4 linked regions of the Canis lupus familiaris genome follow. Each later gene encodes a partner of the first gene's protein in a complex. Links are inferred from orthologs where the notes say so. Each region holds a gene or a part of one and is shown in the gene's direction. Other genes may lie near its edges.

Region 1 (3,735 bases):
AATGAGTTACTGCATGTGAAGTCTTACAGTGGTGCTTGACGTGTAATGCTCCACAAAAGCTGGTGATTGTTGTCATCACTCTGAGTCGTCTACCTAGACAGAGCCAGGTCACCATCTCCCACTATCACCTGTCCCCTAACCCTGACTGTCCCTCACACATCTATCTGCACCCTTGACTTTATTTCTTTTTTAAAGATTTATTTATTTATTTTGGAGAGAGAGGGCAGCCCCGGTGGCCCAGCAGTTTAGTGCCGCCTTCAGCCCAGGGTGTGACCCTGGAGACCCGGGATCGAGTCCCACGTCAGGCTCCCTGCATGGAGCCTGCTTCTCCCTCTGCCTGTGTCTCTGCCTCTCTCTCTCTCTCTCTCTGTCATGAATAAATAAAATCTTAAAAAAAAAAAAAAGGAGAGAGAGGGGGAGAGAGAGAGAGAGAGAGCAGGTGAAAGAGGGTACATGCACAGGGAAAGGGGCAGAGGGAGAGGATATCCAAGCAGACTCGAGTGAGGAGCCCGATGTGGGGCTCGATCTCGTGGCCCCTGAGATCAGGACCTGAACCAAAACCAGAGTCAGATGCTCAACTGAATGAGCCACCAGGAGCCTCTGCACCTTGACTTTCTAACTCACAGAATCACAGAACTTGCCCACTCCAGGTCTCTTGTGGCCTACTGTGAGTCCTTCTGGGTAATAGGAAGTACACCCTGTAGCCCATTTCAGCCACCCCGGCTCCTTCCTTCAACGGCCTTAAACCAGGAAGATGACGCTCCTATGGCATCCGCCTCTATTCACGCCTTGTTCCCTGGCTGGGCATCGGCTTCCTTGTTATATATTAGCCCCATCCCTCTCCACAAGAGCTAACCTTCTGGAACAGGAGTCTTCAAGCTCAGCAAGTGTCAGTGGGTCCGAGAGGCAGCCCTGGCTTGGAGCAGGACAGATCAGACTGGGTTCTGGAGTTTATGGAAGAACCTATGGGCTTGAGCCATTCTGTACATGGGCCGGGTGTGAGCTGCCTTGGACTCTGGTGTTTTCCCTGATGACCAGATTTCAAGAAGATCTCGGGGTGGCCCCAAGCCTGGCTGCTCACAGAGTGAGGGAGCACAGTGAATCAGTCAGCTTGCTGAGATGCTGATCCCGAACCCGCAGGGGTCCCTTCCCCATGACCTCCCTACACCACAGCTTGCTGCTGCTGCCTCTGGGCTGACAGAGCCTCCCTGGCTGCGTCTTAACCCACCAAAGTTGACACAACACCAGACCCTTCCTGGTCTCCTTGCACAAAACTACTGGATTCAGTTCAGATGTTTCTCTTCTTCTTCTTCTTTTTCTCTCCCTCCAGTTTACTCAACCCGTTTTACTAAGTTCCTTGCTTCCCCAGTTTTGGTAGCCCCAGCACCACTAGTAGGAGAAAGGGCCACAGCTGGCCTTCTCACACCAGAGTCTCTGTCAGCAACCCTGGCATCTCCACATGTCCTCCTGCTGGTTCTCTCCGAGCTTGTGTCATCTGGGCCCTTGGCCCTTGGCCAGTTCCTCCGGCCTGTGCTCCGATTTCACAACGTCTTCCCGAGCTGCTCGTTTTCCCCCAGTGAGCCATCCACATCTCCGGCTTGCCCATGAAGTGAACAGGGATTCCCAGAGAAGATACTTCCAAGTAACTTTGACCTCGTTCTGTCCTTACCCCTGAAGGAAACTATGGCCAAAGGTCACTGTGATTTTCATCTTCTCTCCTCTGCAAACCACCACTCCCTTTATACCCACCGTCATGGCCCTGGTAGAAAGGCTGGCATCTTCCCTGCAGACTGATTCTGCTGTTGGTCTGCAGGTGGCCTCGCCTCTAGCATCGCTTCCTGACTCCTAATCCTGGGGCTCAGACTCTGCCATCCTCCTCCCATCTGGAGGGATTTGTGGCCTTTTGAGTCGCAGCCTCTCCACTCCGCAGTTCTTCAGTGAGCCCCCCTCCCTGGCCTCCCCCGGGCCCCCCGCCTCCCATGTCATCGTTCCTCAGCAGGCTGGCTCGCATATCTCCTCGCCCAGCAAACACCTCTGCGGTGTGGTGGCTGTTTTTTCTCCCTTCCTATAACCTCATTCTTTTGCCCCCACGTAGGCAGGTGACAATTTTTTCCCAATATCATCCTCTGAAAAGAGATGCCTATGAAAATTCTCCTTCGGGGCGCCTGGGTGGTGCTGTCGGTTAAGTATCTGACTCTCGGTTTCGGCTCAGGTCATGATCTCAGGGTCCTGGGATTGAGCCCCTTGTGGGGCTCCACACTCAGCATGGAGTCTGCTTGAGATTCTCTCTCTCCCTCTCCTCCTGCCCCTCCCCCTGCTCTCACACACACACTTAGGCATTCTCTCCCTCTCTCTCAAGTAAATAAAGCTTTAAAAAAGAGGGGGAATTCTCCTTTATAATGCCCCTTAATTGATGCCTTTTTTTGGTTCAACAGAAACACCTGCAATGTGGTAACACATGTGGAGGTCCACTCTAGCTTTGGTGGTACTTCCTGTCCCCTGTGACCTTCAGTATTTCTCAGCTCCTGTGACTGCCCTGGCTGGAGCAGAGGCCCTGGCCCACTGTGCACGGTGATGGGCACACTTCCCCATCACATAAAGAATTTTCTCACTGATTCCGTGTCTTATTTTGCAGAGTCCAACTTAGGTCTGGAAATCAGCATTCATTGTCCATGTCACACCTTTCAGCCCAATGGAGACATCCTAGAAAACATCCATGAGGTGATGGAAATCAAATTCAAAGGTAACAAAATGGATGTGTATAGTAGGTGGAGGGGACCTGATGGGGCGGCATAGAACAGGAGACCCCTACCAAGGCCCCAAGGAAAGCAACCAAACTCCCTCACAGAGACGGCCACCTATCTCATAGTAGAGTAATTCTGCTTCGCTCCAAAGGCAAGGCGTGTGACTTTCAGTTTATAGATAGAATTTGTTAGCATCTGGGAGACAGTGTAACGTTGGGAAGGGTGGTGCGGTCATGCAGGCCAATGGGTCCACCTCTCCGAATTCAGTCAGTAAAAGGGAGACGAGAATACCTCTTTCACAGGGTTATCACACAAATTGAATGAGGTAACAAACGTAAAACATGGTGCCACAACGCTCCACATATAGTAGCTGTCTTCCCCTTCCCTAGAAGAAGTGAACTGCGGTGACCAGGGTTACAGGTGTCCTGACTACTGACCTTTTCAGATATCTCAGAGGCCACCTGATTCCCACCCAGGAGTCATCCGGATTTGAATGACTGCTTTGGGGCTCAGGGTATTTGTGTTACGATGGAGAAACAGTTGAGAGTCCTTTCTGGTTTTCCAGACGGTTTCTGAGGCGCTCAATCTTTGGGCAGTCTCTGGATTTCAGGGAAGTTCTCTTTCCTCTCACGGTCCCGTTTTGGATTAACTGAGGCACACCCAGAGCCAGGTGGTTCCTCAAGATGGAACCAACCAAGCCAGAGCCTGAGGGCAGAGGCTTGTCTGGGAAAAGATGCAGCCTCTCTTGGCTCCCAGGCCCGGGCAGTCCTCTTCCCCTTCACGGGCTTGATTTCAGGCCACCCCCTCCCCTTCTTTTTAAAGCCAAGCATCCAGCATCCTAATCACAGAACCTCAGAGCTCAGAAGACCTCTGGGGTCCTTAGCTATGGGACAGGTCAGGACTAGATCCTTCCACCTAGTAAACAGTTATCTTGTTCATAAAGATTCTCAGAAAAGGGGGGCACCTGGGTGGCTCAGCAGTCAAGCATCTG
Region 2 (4,249 bases), on another chromosome or scaffold:
ACTGACAGGGACGTTTTCTGGAGTTGGGTTTCTGGGGAGTGCTATTTGCTTTTCTTCCCAGTGAGCCTGGCCACCTGCCTCTGCAAATACTCTTTGTCTTAGATAAAGGAAGTTCGTTGTGTAACCTGCTGGAAGGTCTCCTGGTGGGCAAGCTATACAGAACCCAAGTCTTTGAGAGTTGGGAGTAAAAATGAGCATACAATTCCTTACCCAACCAAGACCCACGGGAAAGAAGAGAGTGGGTCTGTAATAATTAAACTTCAAAGGTGTCCCCCAGGATCTTTCTAGGGCAAAGCTGGTCACCCTCGCAAGAAGGGAGAGTCGAAAGTTGATCCTTGTTTCTCCTTAGGCGGAGGTGACTCTAAGGACTGTCTGTCTTCAGGGGCAGTGTTGGAATGCAAACCCTGGCACTGAGCTGACTCCCAGGCCACTTTTCTATGTGCATTTTCTGCCATACTCGGGACATTCTAAACCTAAAATGCGCCCCCCCGCCCCCATCACTCCGTGGGGACTGCTTATTTACACTTAACTCCCCGAAGCACCCCCAGGGGGAGGCAACTCAAAGTCGGAGGCAGCTCTCAAGGGGCCGTCAGAAACGCTGCGCACCTCGGGCGGACATCCCGGGTCAAAATCCGCGTTTTAAGCAAGATACTCAGGTGGTGGAGATGCACAGTCAAGGGCGGGGTTGCAACAACACAAAACAAAACAAAACTTCCGGACTTCGACCTGCAGCTGAGAAGAACATCTCGCAAAGCGGCGGTGTGTGCATACGCGCAACCGAAAGCAAAGTTTAGTGCGGCCGTACAGGCTGCGGGCCCCGAAGCAAACACACACAAAACACTGTGCTCGCGACTCCCGTCTCGGGACGCACCCGGGCGTCGGGCACTCGGGGGTCCGCAGACACGGCCCCGGGGCACCTGGGGCAAGGCGGAGGATGCTCCGAGGGGGTGCCCGGAAGAGTGCGCCCCTCTGCGCGCCCCGCGGCTGCCCCGAGCGGAGCGCGTGCCCCGGGGGCGCCGGGAGCTCCCGAGGGCGCCGGGGGCGGCCGCCAGTTCGCCAAATCCCTCGGAGGGGCCGGTCTCGGGGACGTGATTGGCAGGCGGGGGAGAGGAGGGCTGGAGGCCGAGCCGCGGGAGCAGGCTTTCGGGCGGCGAGAGGTCCTGCCCAGCTGTTGGCGAGGAGTTTCCTGTTTCCCCCGCGGCGCCCGGGCGAAGCGGAGTGAGTCACTCGCGCGCACCGAGCGAGGACACCCCCGCGCGCGCGCTCGCCGGGCCGGGCGCCGGCCTCCTGCGCAGCTCCCCTCGGCCGCCGGGGGCCTCCCGCGCCGCCCCGCGCCGCCCCGGCCTCAGGCCCCCCGCCCCCGCCCCCGCCCCCGCCCCCGCGCGGCTGCCGAGCGGCGCCACATCTGGGCCGCGCATCTGCCCGCCCGGCCCGCGCGGGGTCCCGCGAGGGCGCGGCGCGGAGGCGCAGCCGGGGCTCCGGGAGGCGCCGTGCGCTGCGCTCGGGCTCGGGCTCGGGCTCGGTCTATGACGAGCGGCGGGGGCTGCCATGGGTCGGGGGCTGCTCCGGGGCCTGTGGCCGCTGCACATCGTCCTGTGGACGCGCATCGCCAGCACGATCCCGCCGCAGGTCCTGAAGTCGGGTGAGTGCCCCGGGCGGGCTCTGGCGGGGCGCCGGGGGTCCCCGCGGGGCTTGACAGCGGCCGGGCGGAAGCGGAGGGCGCCCGCGGCCGAGCCGCGCAGCCCGGCACCCCCGCGCGGGGAAGTTCACGGGGAAGGGGCGCGGGGCGCGCCGGGCCCCCTTTGTGCGGCCGGGAGAGGCGCCGCGCCGGCCGCGTCCGAGGCGGGCCCCCACCCCCGGAAAGGGAAGTTTGAGGAGTTGCTCGGGCATCCGAGGGAGGCAGGGGAGCCGCGGCCCCGAGCCGAGCCCGCCGAGGCCGCGGGGCGGCCGGCGCACCTGGGGTCGCCGCGGCCGGGGGGATGCGGCGCGCGCCCACCCGCGCCCCCCGCCCCCGCCCCCGCCCCCGCCCGCGGCCCCCCAGCCCCGGGTCCCCCAGGCCGGCCTCTGGGCCCGGAGTCGCTGTCTGCAAGTTCCAGGGAACGAAGCGATTTCCCAAGGAAAGTTCTCCGGCCGCACCGTGGGCCGGGCAGGGAGCGGCGGGGAGCGGGGCTGTCAGGTGGCGGGCGGGGAATTGTGCACACGGTGCCTGCTGGGTGCTGGGCGCTGGGTGCCGGGTGCCGGGTGCCGGGTGCTGGGTGCCGGGTGCTGCACAGGCCGCCCGCGGCGAGACCGCCCTGCCGTCCCGGAGGTGATGGTTCCCCGCAAGTGACCTTTGAGGGAAATGGGAAGCCTAAATCCTAACTGTGCTCCCTGGTCTGGAGGGTTTCCAATGTGAAAAATGCAGGAATGGAGTTCTTATGTGTTAGGGAAAGGACCGAACTCCACCCCCCCGCCCTTCCCCGACCTTAGAGGCTACTTATTTTTGAAGCAGTGATCCACATAAGTGAGGATCTGCAAGGCCTCAGGCCCTCAGCTTCCTCATCTGTAAAATGGTTCCATCTGGATAAGTTGACATCCCCTTCATCTGTGGCTCTTCTTGCCGCTCTCTTCCCCCTTTGGTGACTTGGAAATGCCCTGTGTAAACTTGGGATGAAGTATAGAGGCTCTGACAGCCCACATCACCCCCAGGCACTCCTTCATCCACTAGGGCCCCAGGCAGCCTTACCTTTTGGGTTGTCTAGAAGAAATTAGCACCAAGTTCTAAATGGTAACCTTTCAGAGTATTCGAAGTGGATTGAGATCTTTTTAAAATTAAGTTTCTTATGGAAAGTGGCACGGAGATGGGAGTTCTGAATGGAGTGAGAAAAAGGGACTGTTGTGAACCAAAAAATCCTAACACAAATTTGAATTTCATAAAGTCCTACTGTCTCATTCTCCGATGTTCTACATTGCAGTACCAGAATGTATGTCCAAGTGTCTCTGATCATGCTCCAGGCACTTAAAAACTGACTTATATGTTGCTAATAAAGATTTTAAGTGGCACCCTTAATTTTCTGAGCATGTTACAAATCATTAAAACTTTTGTTTCAGGTTACGGAAGAAGGAAATCAACAGATCCTGATTTTGTTAGATTTTGTTTACAAGGATTAGATTTATGAATTTTCAAATCCCAGACTCAGTAGTTCATGAGTCAGTTTCATTTCATCTGTATACTTTTTAAACAATCAACTTAAAAGCCCAGTGGCTTTTTATTTGGACTTTGATCGGTTTTTAAAAACCCACAGATTTCATATTTTGATGGAATTAAAGGTGCCAACTTTGAACTAAGGAAGCATTTTGGAATTTTACTCATTTGAAATTAAATTTTCAAAGATAGTTGAAGGTAGAAGGTAGCTATAATGAAAACGAGAAACTTACTTCCAGTTGCATTCTAATTTTCTGTGTAAGTAGGCGGTTTCAGGATTTTTCTAAAATAATTGGTAAACCGTCAAGACATTTTTCAAAATATCTTACTGTGTGATAAGATATGAGATAATTAGATGGCTAACGGAGTCCTATTAGGCCACCCAAAAAGGTCCATCTTCTGTTTAATGGATTTGATAAGAACAAACTTCACTGAGAAATATGCTTAATTCTTATTTATTTTTTTTTAATTTTGTAGATCCACCCTTCCTAAATGCCCCAAATTAAGTAATTACTCTTTAGGGGAAAATCTTAAATGTCAGAAAACTCTTCAGATCTGAAAAATATGACTGTTACTTTTCAAATACCTAACAAGAAATTTCTGTTGAGGACTCAGTATTGGTAAAGTGTCATACAGATAAACTTCTTTCCTAAAATTATGTTAATGATGTACTTCTCTTCGTTAGGGTCAGAGACTAGAGATCTAGGTCCAGAATTTGATCTTTGGTCTATTGCATTTTAGAAGAACCATTTTTCTGCCACTTCCTTTAATTTTCACCAGTTTTGATCTATACAAGTATCTGTCATACTTTGGATTTATTGCCCCTTTTTTTCAAGGTAGCACCCCACTGTGATGAATCCTCATTCTTGTCTGGGGAGCTAGCATAACTGCAACATGGTTTCCATTTTAGTTTACCAACCCTTTGTTATCAACACAACTTTTAAAATTTTTCTTTATTTTTTAACCCCATTTTTCCAATTAAGAATTATGTCTCATTGGTGCCATTGTAATAAACGACCATTACTCATTTTTTCTTTTCAGCAGTATTTATAGAGCATCTCCTTA
Region 3 (4,240 bases), on another chromosome or scaffold:
GCACCCGCGGACCAGAGGGTGTTGGGGGCGGGGAGAGGCCCCCTGCTCCACTCTATGCTGCAGCTGCCGGGCAGTGAGTATCTCGGAACAAAGGAGCGCAGAGTGCCCGGGGGAGAGGCTGGGGGTTTGTGCGCAGCTGCCGTTAGGACTGAGCGAATCTCCAAACGGTCCAAGGGAGCGTGGGGGTGTAGGGATTCGGCGAGCAGGGGGAGAGGGAACAGGGGGAGCGATTCTTGTTGCGCGGCCACGCATCAGGAGCTCTTGTGAACGGTGGGCATGACAACTATCAGAGCCAAGGGGGAGAAAAAAGGAGCCGGAGTGAGCAAAACAAAGAGCGAGTGTGGGCCGCGGTGACTTCATGCCTCACCAATGTCCCGCCCACGCTGCTCGGAGCTCTTGCCGCCGCCGCCGGAGCCGCCGCTGCGCCTGCAGGCGGCCGGGGCGAGGCGCTGGGTAGCGTGGGGCTGTTTCCTAGCAACTCGCGGCCCCGAGCGCGCCCAGCTCGCGGCACTTCGGGAGCCCTCCCCCCGCCCCGCCGCCCCGCCGCCCCGCCGCCCCGCCGCCCCGGCCCGGAGCAGGACCGCCGCTCCCCCGCCCCTCGCCGGCCTCGCTCCTCGCGCCTCCTCGGGGGTGCACCCCAGAGCGCGCCAGCTGCCCGGGTGCTGGCCGGCGGGACGCCTGAGCGGGGCACGCTGGGGCCAAAAGGACGAGGGCACGAAGCTCCCGCCCCGCGAGGCCGGGCTACGGCACCCTCGCCGAGCCTCCCCTCCCGCGCTAGCGGCCGTGCGCCCCGGTCCCGGCCGAGCGGGGAGCTGCTATGCCTCCCTCCGCGCCCGCGGGCGCCGGCCGCGGCTTCTGAGGTGCTGCCGGAGCCGCTTCTCCCAGCCGCTGGCAGCCCGCGCTTCCTCCCTCGCCAGCCAGGACGTTGCCGCTTTGACTTTGCCCGCCGCTCAGCTGACGCGGCTGCAGGGCTGTAACCAAGTGGAATCGGCCTCCCTGCCCACCTGTGGAAGAAGCTCGCGCTGATTGATGCGCCATCGACTTTTTCCCCCCTCGGCCTCGCCGGCGTCCCCTCCCACCGAGGCAGCATCACCCAGTGATAGCACTTTAGGCTGGTTTTTCCCCCGGGCTTCGGGCTTTGTTTGGGTTTGATTCCGTTTGGCTGTTCCCTAAGCTGATTTATGCAGCAGAAGCCCCGTCGGCTGGAGAGAAACAAAAGCTCTTTTCTTTGTCCCGGAGCGGGCTGCGGAGCCTGCGCTCGCGTCGCCGCCCCGGGCCATTGACCGTCAGAGGAGGTGCTTCTCGCGGAGGTCGCGGGCCCCGGCGCGCCGTGCTGGCAGGGCCTCGGGGGCCCTGAGATGCCCAGCGGCGTCCGGGCCGGCGTACCTGCACCGCTGGTTCCGAGCCGCGGGGTCCGCCCGCAGGGCCTGCGGGCAACCGCCTAGCGGCACTCGGCCCGCGGGCCCCGAGGTGCGCCCCGGAGAGCGGCCAGGCGGCGGGCGCGGTGCGGGCTGCTTTGCAGTATGTGCCGCTCCGCTCTGGCTTTTTTTGCCGCCGCATTTGTCCGCCTGCAAAACTGCCGGCCGGGTCCAGCCCCGTTCCTTCGGGCGGCCTGGGTGCTTTTAGTTGTTCTTGGACTGGGCCAAAGTGGTAAGTTGTTTGGTTTTCTTTTGTTTTCTTCTCCTCCCCAAAGGTCCTGGGCTGTGACGAGGAACATCCCGGCCAGGTAAGTGACCCAGTGTCAGCCTCCATCCGTCCTGAGAACTTTAGAAGGGCGGGTGTGTGGCAGCGTCCTCCTTTCAGGCGGCCTGAGGGGGGCCAGGTGTCAAGTATTTCCGCCCCGAGTGACAGCAATAACTAACTGTACGAGGACACTCTGTGTGTTGCTCCCGGGATTGGGGGAAGCAGTAAAAGAATGGAAGTTTGGAAGAGGGAGAGCTCCTATTTACGTAAACCAGCTTAGGGGTTCTGCTCCATCCTTCAGGGCATCCTCCTTGAAGGCATCTTTGAGGATGCCCCTCATCGTTTTGCATGTACCACTAGCATTTGATTCAAGGCTGAGAATACACTGGTATAATGGGAGTGACATTTCTGGTTTTGAGTCCAGGAAAGAAGAGGATGGCTGCATAAAAGTTTCTTCTATCATAGTGCTCTCAGCCTGAAGGAATTGAACACAATCGAAAAATATTCTCTAAGTCACCACTTTTTCAGTTTAAAAAATAAAAATAGGGTCCTAGCTAACTGATGCTTCAGTCAGATCAGCCCCTGAGACTGAGACCCTGAGACAGAAACCTAGACCAGGATTGACAGCTTTCAATCCAGGCAAGCCACTTCTATAGAATTGCCTTGATTTGGAAAGGATACTTCTTTATAATGTTTATTGTCCTGATTTTACAAATGAGGACAGGATCTCCCTCCCTAAGTCACAAGAAAAGCTCAAGTCAAATAGTGTATGAAAAGGTGTGTTGGCCCCTTTGAATTACACGCAGATTTAAGGTGGCTATCCTGGCTTGTTAGCAAACAGTAAAACATACAGTAAGTAATAACAGTAATCATCAATTTGGGATGAGTTCTTCTTGGTTTTAAATATAAGCCACACATTTATTTTTGCCAAGGCAATGATTATTGCCAATTAAAAAATAAATTTGCTTTATCTGTGTTTGGTTATCAAGCCCTTAAATTCTGCTAGCACCTTTCTCCGACCTCTCCTGTTGAAGTAGAGTTGTGGTTGTTTTGTAGATTAAAATTTTCTCTTATGCTTTGAATTGATGTGCCATGTTTCTGCCTGAAGCTAATAAAAACGATCAAGTCATAATCTTATAAATAAGAGTTCAACATGGAAACATCCAGCTAGTTCACTCATTTGTTGCACTAATAGTTGTCTAATATTTGTTTCAACAGGAGATTTACCCAGTTATGTGAAATGAGAGCAATTAGAGTAAATTTCTATCTTGAGGTTATTTTTTGGCTTAAATGTTTATTACAAAATAAGTGAAATTTGAAGGCAAAGGAAATAGTAGCATTCATTATCAATTATCTCTTCAGTGGAACTATGCATTGATTGCAGCAGATTTTCCACTGAGTGTAATTCCATCTTGGGTTATTATTTGACAAAGTAGAACACACACACAATACTAAAATGACCAAGACTGTGTCAACAGAGTATATTTCATCCCCAGTGCATAGAGAAAAAAGTGCTACTTGCCTCTAGAATTTACTACTAATAACAATACTTTAAAAATATTCTTTGTGCATGTAAAGATTAGTCAAGTTCTCATGTAATAGCATTGTATTTCCATCTAGTGACTATAATTGGTTTGGAGCAAACACTATGAATGGGTTCCCTTGCACCTGCAGTTGTGAAAAGAGAATGCTTATCTGAAATCAGAACAAGGCATCCTTTTCCCAGTCACTGTCAATATACAAAGGTTCCTGATGTATACTGGTTTGCATTTCAGTTAAAATCATGAAAAAAATGTAAATTATAGCCAGTACAACTCTGAAAATTAGAGATCAGCGTAAACTGTTGTACTTTCATGATATAGCTACAAGTCTCAGATTATATGTCTTCACAGTGCAAATTAGATGCTTAAAGCAGAATAGAAATTTAGGTATCAATTACAAAAGAAATCTTGTTCCCTCGCTTAGTAGTTTACACCAAGGAAATGTTGAGGACAATAAAGCCATATATAAGGAACCATAAACTGCACAACAACATAACTTTGGGTTTAATTTTTGAATTAGGATTTATAGGTCCCAAATATGTAGTGGACTTTTAATAATGAATATATGGTGAGCAAGGGGGATGTTGTTAATAAATCTGACCATTTTTCTGATCTAGAGAAACGTTTTTCAACTTTCCCTGGTGGAAATCACCGACAATCGGAGAAACAATAACAGTATAAAATGGTTAATGAGTAACTGGAAAACACTAAAGAATACTTAGTGGTTAATATTTGAAGAGTTAATTCAGCAAACACTGTTGTTTCTACATTTGTTCACTTGGAAAGGTTAAAAATATTTTTTACTAAATTTTTATAGAGCAATATAAGAATGACAAATTTCAGAAATTACCATTTATTTTTTTTAAAAATGTTAACTATTATTGCAATAAAATTTTACCTTCTGTGCATAATCAGCTATTTATTCTTTAAGTAACAATCAGATTAGCATTCTCTTATAACTGTAATATTATTTTACCTCAGAACATATTTCACAAGTGTTCTGAGATTTCTTTATA
Region 4 (4,031 bases), on another chromosome or scaffold:
TCGGTCCCCTCAGGAAACAGAAGATAGTGCTGGGGCAACCCACAGAGGAAATGAATTTTGCAGAGAAGGAATAATATCTCTATGGCAGAAATTAAGTCAGTTCTTGAATTCCAAATCGAAGTGTTTCCTCACGTAGGAGTTTACTTAGTGAACAAAAGAATGTAAGGATCCTTGAAGGTTCCAGGGTATCATAGAGGTTAGAAATGAAAGGTGGTTTAAAAATCTTCTAAGAAGCCACCATACACAGGACATGTTCTTTATAGACAAGGAGTCAGCTCAGAGACCTTAGGAATTTTTCTGAGATCAAGTATCCAGTCAACAATAGAGCGAGGACTCAGACCCAGGTGCCCTGGCTCTCTGTTGCCCTTGCTTCCAGAGCACTCAAGTACCACATGGCTTGTGAGCTGCCACACTGCCTCCAGCACTGTTCTTCAGACGCTCAAGAGGCGCTGGGGCATGAGGGAAACTGCTTTGGAGTCAGACTGAGGTTTAAATCTGACTGTCACTTACCAGCATGTGACCTTGGGCAAGTCAACGAATCTCTAAAGCAAGGCCACCAACCCAGGCCACACTGCGGTGGTGAGAATGAAAAGATAAAGCATCTCCAGGGCTGAGATGGCACTGGAACACCACGGAGGCCCAGTGAACAGCACCAGTCATCTGTCATATGACCTCCTTGAAGGCGGACCCAAAGCCCTGCACTCTTGGCCTCGACCTCAGAAGAGTGTGGTCCAAACACTTCATCCTTCTTCCCAAAAGCTGTACGGACGTCTCTTCTCAGCTGTGCCCAACTGGAACAAATCAAATCCAATTTGGACCATTTAGTGTTTGGCACCATCTTTCATACTAATCTCCTCAGTTTTTATTTTCATTTTCCAGTTTAACCAAACAAGCCACTTTCAGAGGCTAGTGACTTTAAGCCAGACCCACCAATAAACTAGACTTCTCCTGAAAACACCAGGATCCTTTTGAAGGAATGTAAATATAAACAACCCAACACGATATACGAAAATTTGATGGGAGTTGGGTCATTGGTTCGGATGCCAGCTCGACTCTAAACTTGCCCGGTACTATTTTGGGGTATCACAATCTATGTGTGCTCCACGTCCCAGCCACCCTGCCATCCATTAGGTTCGAATGTCCTTTATGGAATGAACTTGATCCCCCCGCCTTACTTTTGGTCTCTCTCCAGGGCAGCTAATGCGCTGGCATAGTTCTGCCATTTGTCAGCCAGAAGTCTGGTTACACATTTGCTCGTCAATCTAAACCTAACCTATTCTCATACGAGCACTTGGGGTTTCATGTAAATCCACCAGACACTCTGTCATTCAGCAGCAATAGCTCTCCCTAGTAGGCCGCACCAATGTGCCTTCATGAAATATTTCCCTGGGTTGGTGGAAGAAACATTCAAATGAACGTGCTTTTTCAGGAATGGTGACACCAGAATGTTACAAATCTGTTCATTACCACAACAAGGATAAATGGTATTTCTGCCAAAGACTTGGTAACGGGTGCAGTAATGCATCTCAGCACTTTCTGAAAGTAAAGGTCTGCCCTGGGAGGTAAGTCCTATAATGCATGACTAACAAACGCAAACCCAAACTTCGAAACTAAGTTTTCCTCGTCCGTGTAACCGATCGTTTCCAACAGACGCCGCCTTAGGAAGTTCATGACGTTCCTTCTGTTCTCTGGATACTCCCGTCCAGGCGAGGCTGACCCCACGGTTTCTGAAAGGGGGCTTCCTCATTAATCGAGCATGCTTTACTGTGATTTTTCTTACATTTGAATGCACACGTGCTTTTACCAGCCGTACTTCAAAAATCTGCTATGGTGTAAGGGCACGATTTCATGGGGTTATTAGTTCATCGTCCAGGAAGGTATTTTTAACATTCAGTTGAACAGTTTCTTAAGCAGCTTTTTAAGATCCTTGTTTCTGGTTATAGTGATTAATTGTTCATCTTTAAAAAAAAAAAAAAAAAAAGGCAACTTTAGGCCCTGGCCTTCCCTGTGTCTTGTGGCATTTTCAAGGCGTCACAAAGGAACTAAGGAACTGGGAATTTAAACAAGACGAAGTATCCGTTCTCATTGACACGGGCATGACACTGGGCCAGTTAACTTGGGTGTTCCTAGATTGTAAAATGCTGTGTTAAAAAATAAAAATTAAAAATTAAGAAATAAAAAAAAAAAGTAAAATGCTGTGTTAATGTAGACCTAATTCATGAGAACTGTGGAGACAGTGGGGGGGGGGGGGCTTCCAGTCTAGGGTATTTACGAAGAGCTCATTTTATTCCTGCAAGTGTCTGAAAATGCCGGGTAATCATTACTATTCACTATGAGCACTGAAAGTATGACTACCAGCGCTTTAAAAAAAAAAAAAAAATCCAATATCTGTGAAAGGTTATTCATCCAAAGAATGTGTCCTCTAAAATTAAAGACTCACCGAGTTCTGGCATATTGGCTCTCCCCATGCCTCAAATGGACAGAATCCAGATCCTGGTCAGAGAGTAATGGTTTTCTTTTTACTGTTTTGGATTCAGAACAGAATCAGCAGCTCATAGTTACAGTTTTTTAGCACTGGGTTTCAAGTAGAGAGAGTCACTTGGTCACAGTATAAAGATTAGTGTCTACCTAGGTAAAACCGGGTGCCTTGGGGAAATGCAGAAAGGCCTTCCTCTGCAGGCTCTTCTTCGGTCCTGGGCATTCGGAGATGGTCTTTTCCTCTATTTGACTCCCTCTAGTGTTTTCTGGCTGAAGTACAGGAACTAAAGCTCCATTTACACACACAAAAATGTTGCTGCAATTTCTCAGTATTTTCCCCGGTTATCATACACTGAAGCACACTTGCCACCAGATGTTTTGACATGAACTCTAAGTGATTGCGAGAATTTTTGATTGGAGAGTCTCAAGCTTAGGTTCTTGTATTCCAACGTCAGATCTCCAAAGTAGGCATAGACTTCTGATCTGTTAGGGTTAGAGTCCTTCTCTGCCTTTGAACCCCTATATTCTCATTCATTTTTATTATGATCTGAAGAAGGGGGAAAGAGTCTCTAATGAACTAAGGCAAGCACGCAGGCATTTCTTTGACATATTTTCCAAGATAGAATGTAATGGTTTGATTCTTCTAAGTCCCCCCAAGAGGTTCAAGGTGTTTTGCCTCAAGAGAAAAGTGATTCCTTCTTCTTCTTCTTTTTTTTTTAAACAGCCTTATGGAAACATTGCATATTTTCTCCACAGAAGCCCTTAGTCAGACCAGGAAGAGTAGCTTCTTGGGAAATGTATTGCTTGTGGGCACTTTTTCTTTACTGAGAAGAAAATACACTTCCAAAGCTGTCAGCTGCCGTTGCTGCTACTTTGGAAACCAGCCACAGCTGATGTGAGAGCTAACTATAGGCCAAGGTCATCTGGGGATCTACCCAGCCTGCGTGCAGAGATGACACCCATACCTCATGGGAGGGCATGGGCTTGCCAGTCCAGCCAGTCCAGCCCAGAGAGCTAGTTTCAGCTGGAATCCCCACAAGAAGGCCCTTGATCGTCCTTCACGCTGTCGGCAGTCACTTTTACACTTGACCATTCTCAACCACAATCTGCTTTATACACTGGCCTCTTCTCCCCTTTATAACATCCTCCCTGTTTGCAGGCCCCCATAGGGGGTTCATAGGTATAGCAAGTAATAATATTAAAACTGACCTTTACTGCTGTTTGTTTAACAACACAAAGCTCACTGAGGCATGCAGCTCCACTACATCAAATTATTTCAACCAAGTACCTGAACAGGAAATCCTCAGGCTTCTTTTTCTTCCTTCTTTATGACCATCAGCCACCAGCCTCTAATCCTGGCCAGGCCTTGTCCATTCAGATCCTTAGAGATCTTTCCTCTTTCGTGTCCCCTGTCATTACATTTCATCCACTTTGCCTGGTTGCTGTAATAACTTTCCAACCAATCTCCCACCTCCAATTCACCAACATTCCACCATTGCTTATATTTCAAAATTACAAATCAGAATGAGTAACTCTTCCGTTGAACACTGTGC

The links.
Region 2: the proteins of TGFB3 (region 1) and TGFBR2 are in contact, whole or in part, in a crystal structure (PDB 9B9F), measured with the Homo sapiens proteins. The link is inferred for Canis lupus familiaris from reciprocal best matches to the Homo sapiens genes TGFB3 and TGFBR2. Residues at the interface, in NP_001316868.1 of Homo sapiens: Arg325, Lys331, Trp332, His334, Tyr390, Tyr391, Val392, Gly393, Arg394; in NP_003233.4 of Homo sapiens: Leu50, Phe53, Asp55, Ser72, Ile73, Thr74, Ser75, Ile76, Glu78, Val100, Asp141, Glu142.
Region 3: the proteins of TGFB3 (region 1) and ITGB8 are in contact, whole or in part, in a cryo-EM structure (PDB 8VS6), measured with the Homo sapiens proteins. The link is inferred for Canis lupus familiaris from reciprocal best matches to the Homo sapiens genes TGFB3 and ITGB8. Residues at the interface, in NP_001316868.1 of Homo sapiens: Gly262, Asp263, Leu264, Arg266, Leu267, Lys268; in NP_002205.1 of Homo sapiens: Ser156, Ala157, Ser158, Asn161, Arg206, Gln210, Cys211, Tyr214, Leu216, Ser247, Gly248, Asn249, Ile250, Asp251, Thr252, Glu254.
Region 4: the proteins of TGFB3 (region 1) and ITGB6 are in contact, whole or in part, in a crystal structure (PDB 4UM9), measured with the Homo sapiens proteins. The link is inferred for Canis lupus familiaris from reciprocal best matches to the Homo sapiens genes TGFB3 and ITGB6. Residues at the interface, in NP_001316868.1 of Homo sapiens: His259, Gly262, Asp263, Leu264, Arg266, Leu267, Lys268; in NP_000879.2 of Homo sapiens: Ser142, Ala143, Ser144, Asp147, Pro196, Cys197, Ser199, Ile200, Tyr202, Cys204, Ala234, Asn235, Ile236, Asp237, Thr238, Glu240, Asp271, Lys355.

The regions. Positions count from the first base shown.
Region 1 is NC_049229.1:49,244,072-49,247,806, reverse strand, and holds part of TGFB3 (transforming growth factor beta-3 proprotein), read left to right. Parts: intron 1-2,635; coding exon 2,636-2,743; intron 2,744-3,735. UniProt on the Homo sapiens protein: Transforming growth factor beta-3 proprotein: Precursor of the Latency-associated peptide (LAP) and Transforming growth factor beta-3 (TGF-beta-3) chains, which constitute the regulatory and active subunit of TGF-beta-3, respectively.
Region 2 is NC_049244.1:14,231,353-14,235,601, reverse strand, and holds the start of TGFBR2 (TGF-beta receptor type-2), read left to right. Parts: upstream 1-1,449; 5' UTR 1,450-1,548; coding exon 1,549-1,642; intron 1,643-4,249. UniProt on the Homo sapiens protein: Transmembrane serine/threonine kinase forming with the TGF-beta type I serine/threonine kinase receptor, TGFBR1, the non-promiscuous receptor for the TGF-beta cytokines TGFB1, TGFB2 and TGFB3.
Region 3 is NC_049235.1:34,421,243-34,425,482, forward strand, and holds the start of ITGB8 (integrin beta-8), read left to right. Parts: upstream 1-1,440; 5' UTR 1,441-1,523; coding exon 1,524-1,650; intron 1,651-1,710; exon of another isoform or gene 1,711-1,726; intron 1,727-4,240. UniProt on the Homo sapiens protein: Integrin alpha-V:beta-8 (ITGAV:ITGB8) is a receptor for fibronectin. It recognizes the sequence R-G-D in its ligands.
Region 4 is NC_049257.1:6,253,434-6,257,464, reverse strand, and holds the start of ITGB6 (integrin beta-6), read left to right. Parts: upstream 1-1,231; 5' UTR 1,232-1,562; intron 1,563-2,440; exon of another isoform or gene 2,441-3,279; intron 3,280-4,031. UniProt on the Homo sapiens protein: Integrin alpha-V:beta-6 (ITGAV:ITGB6) is a receptor for fibronectin and cytotactin. It recognizes the sequence R-G-D in its ligands. Internalization of integrin alpha-V/beta-6 via clathrin-mediated endocytosis promotes carcinoma cell invasion.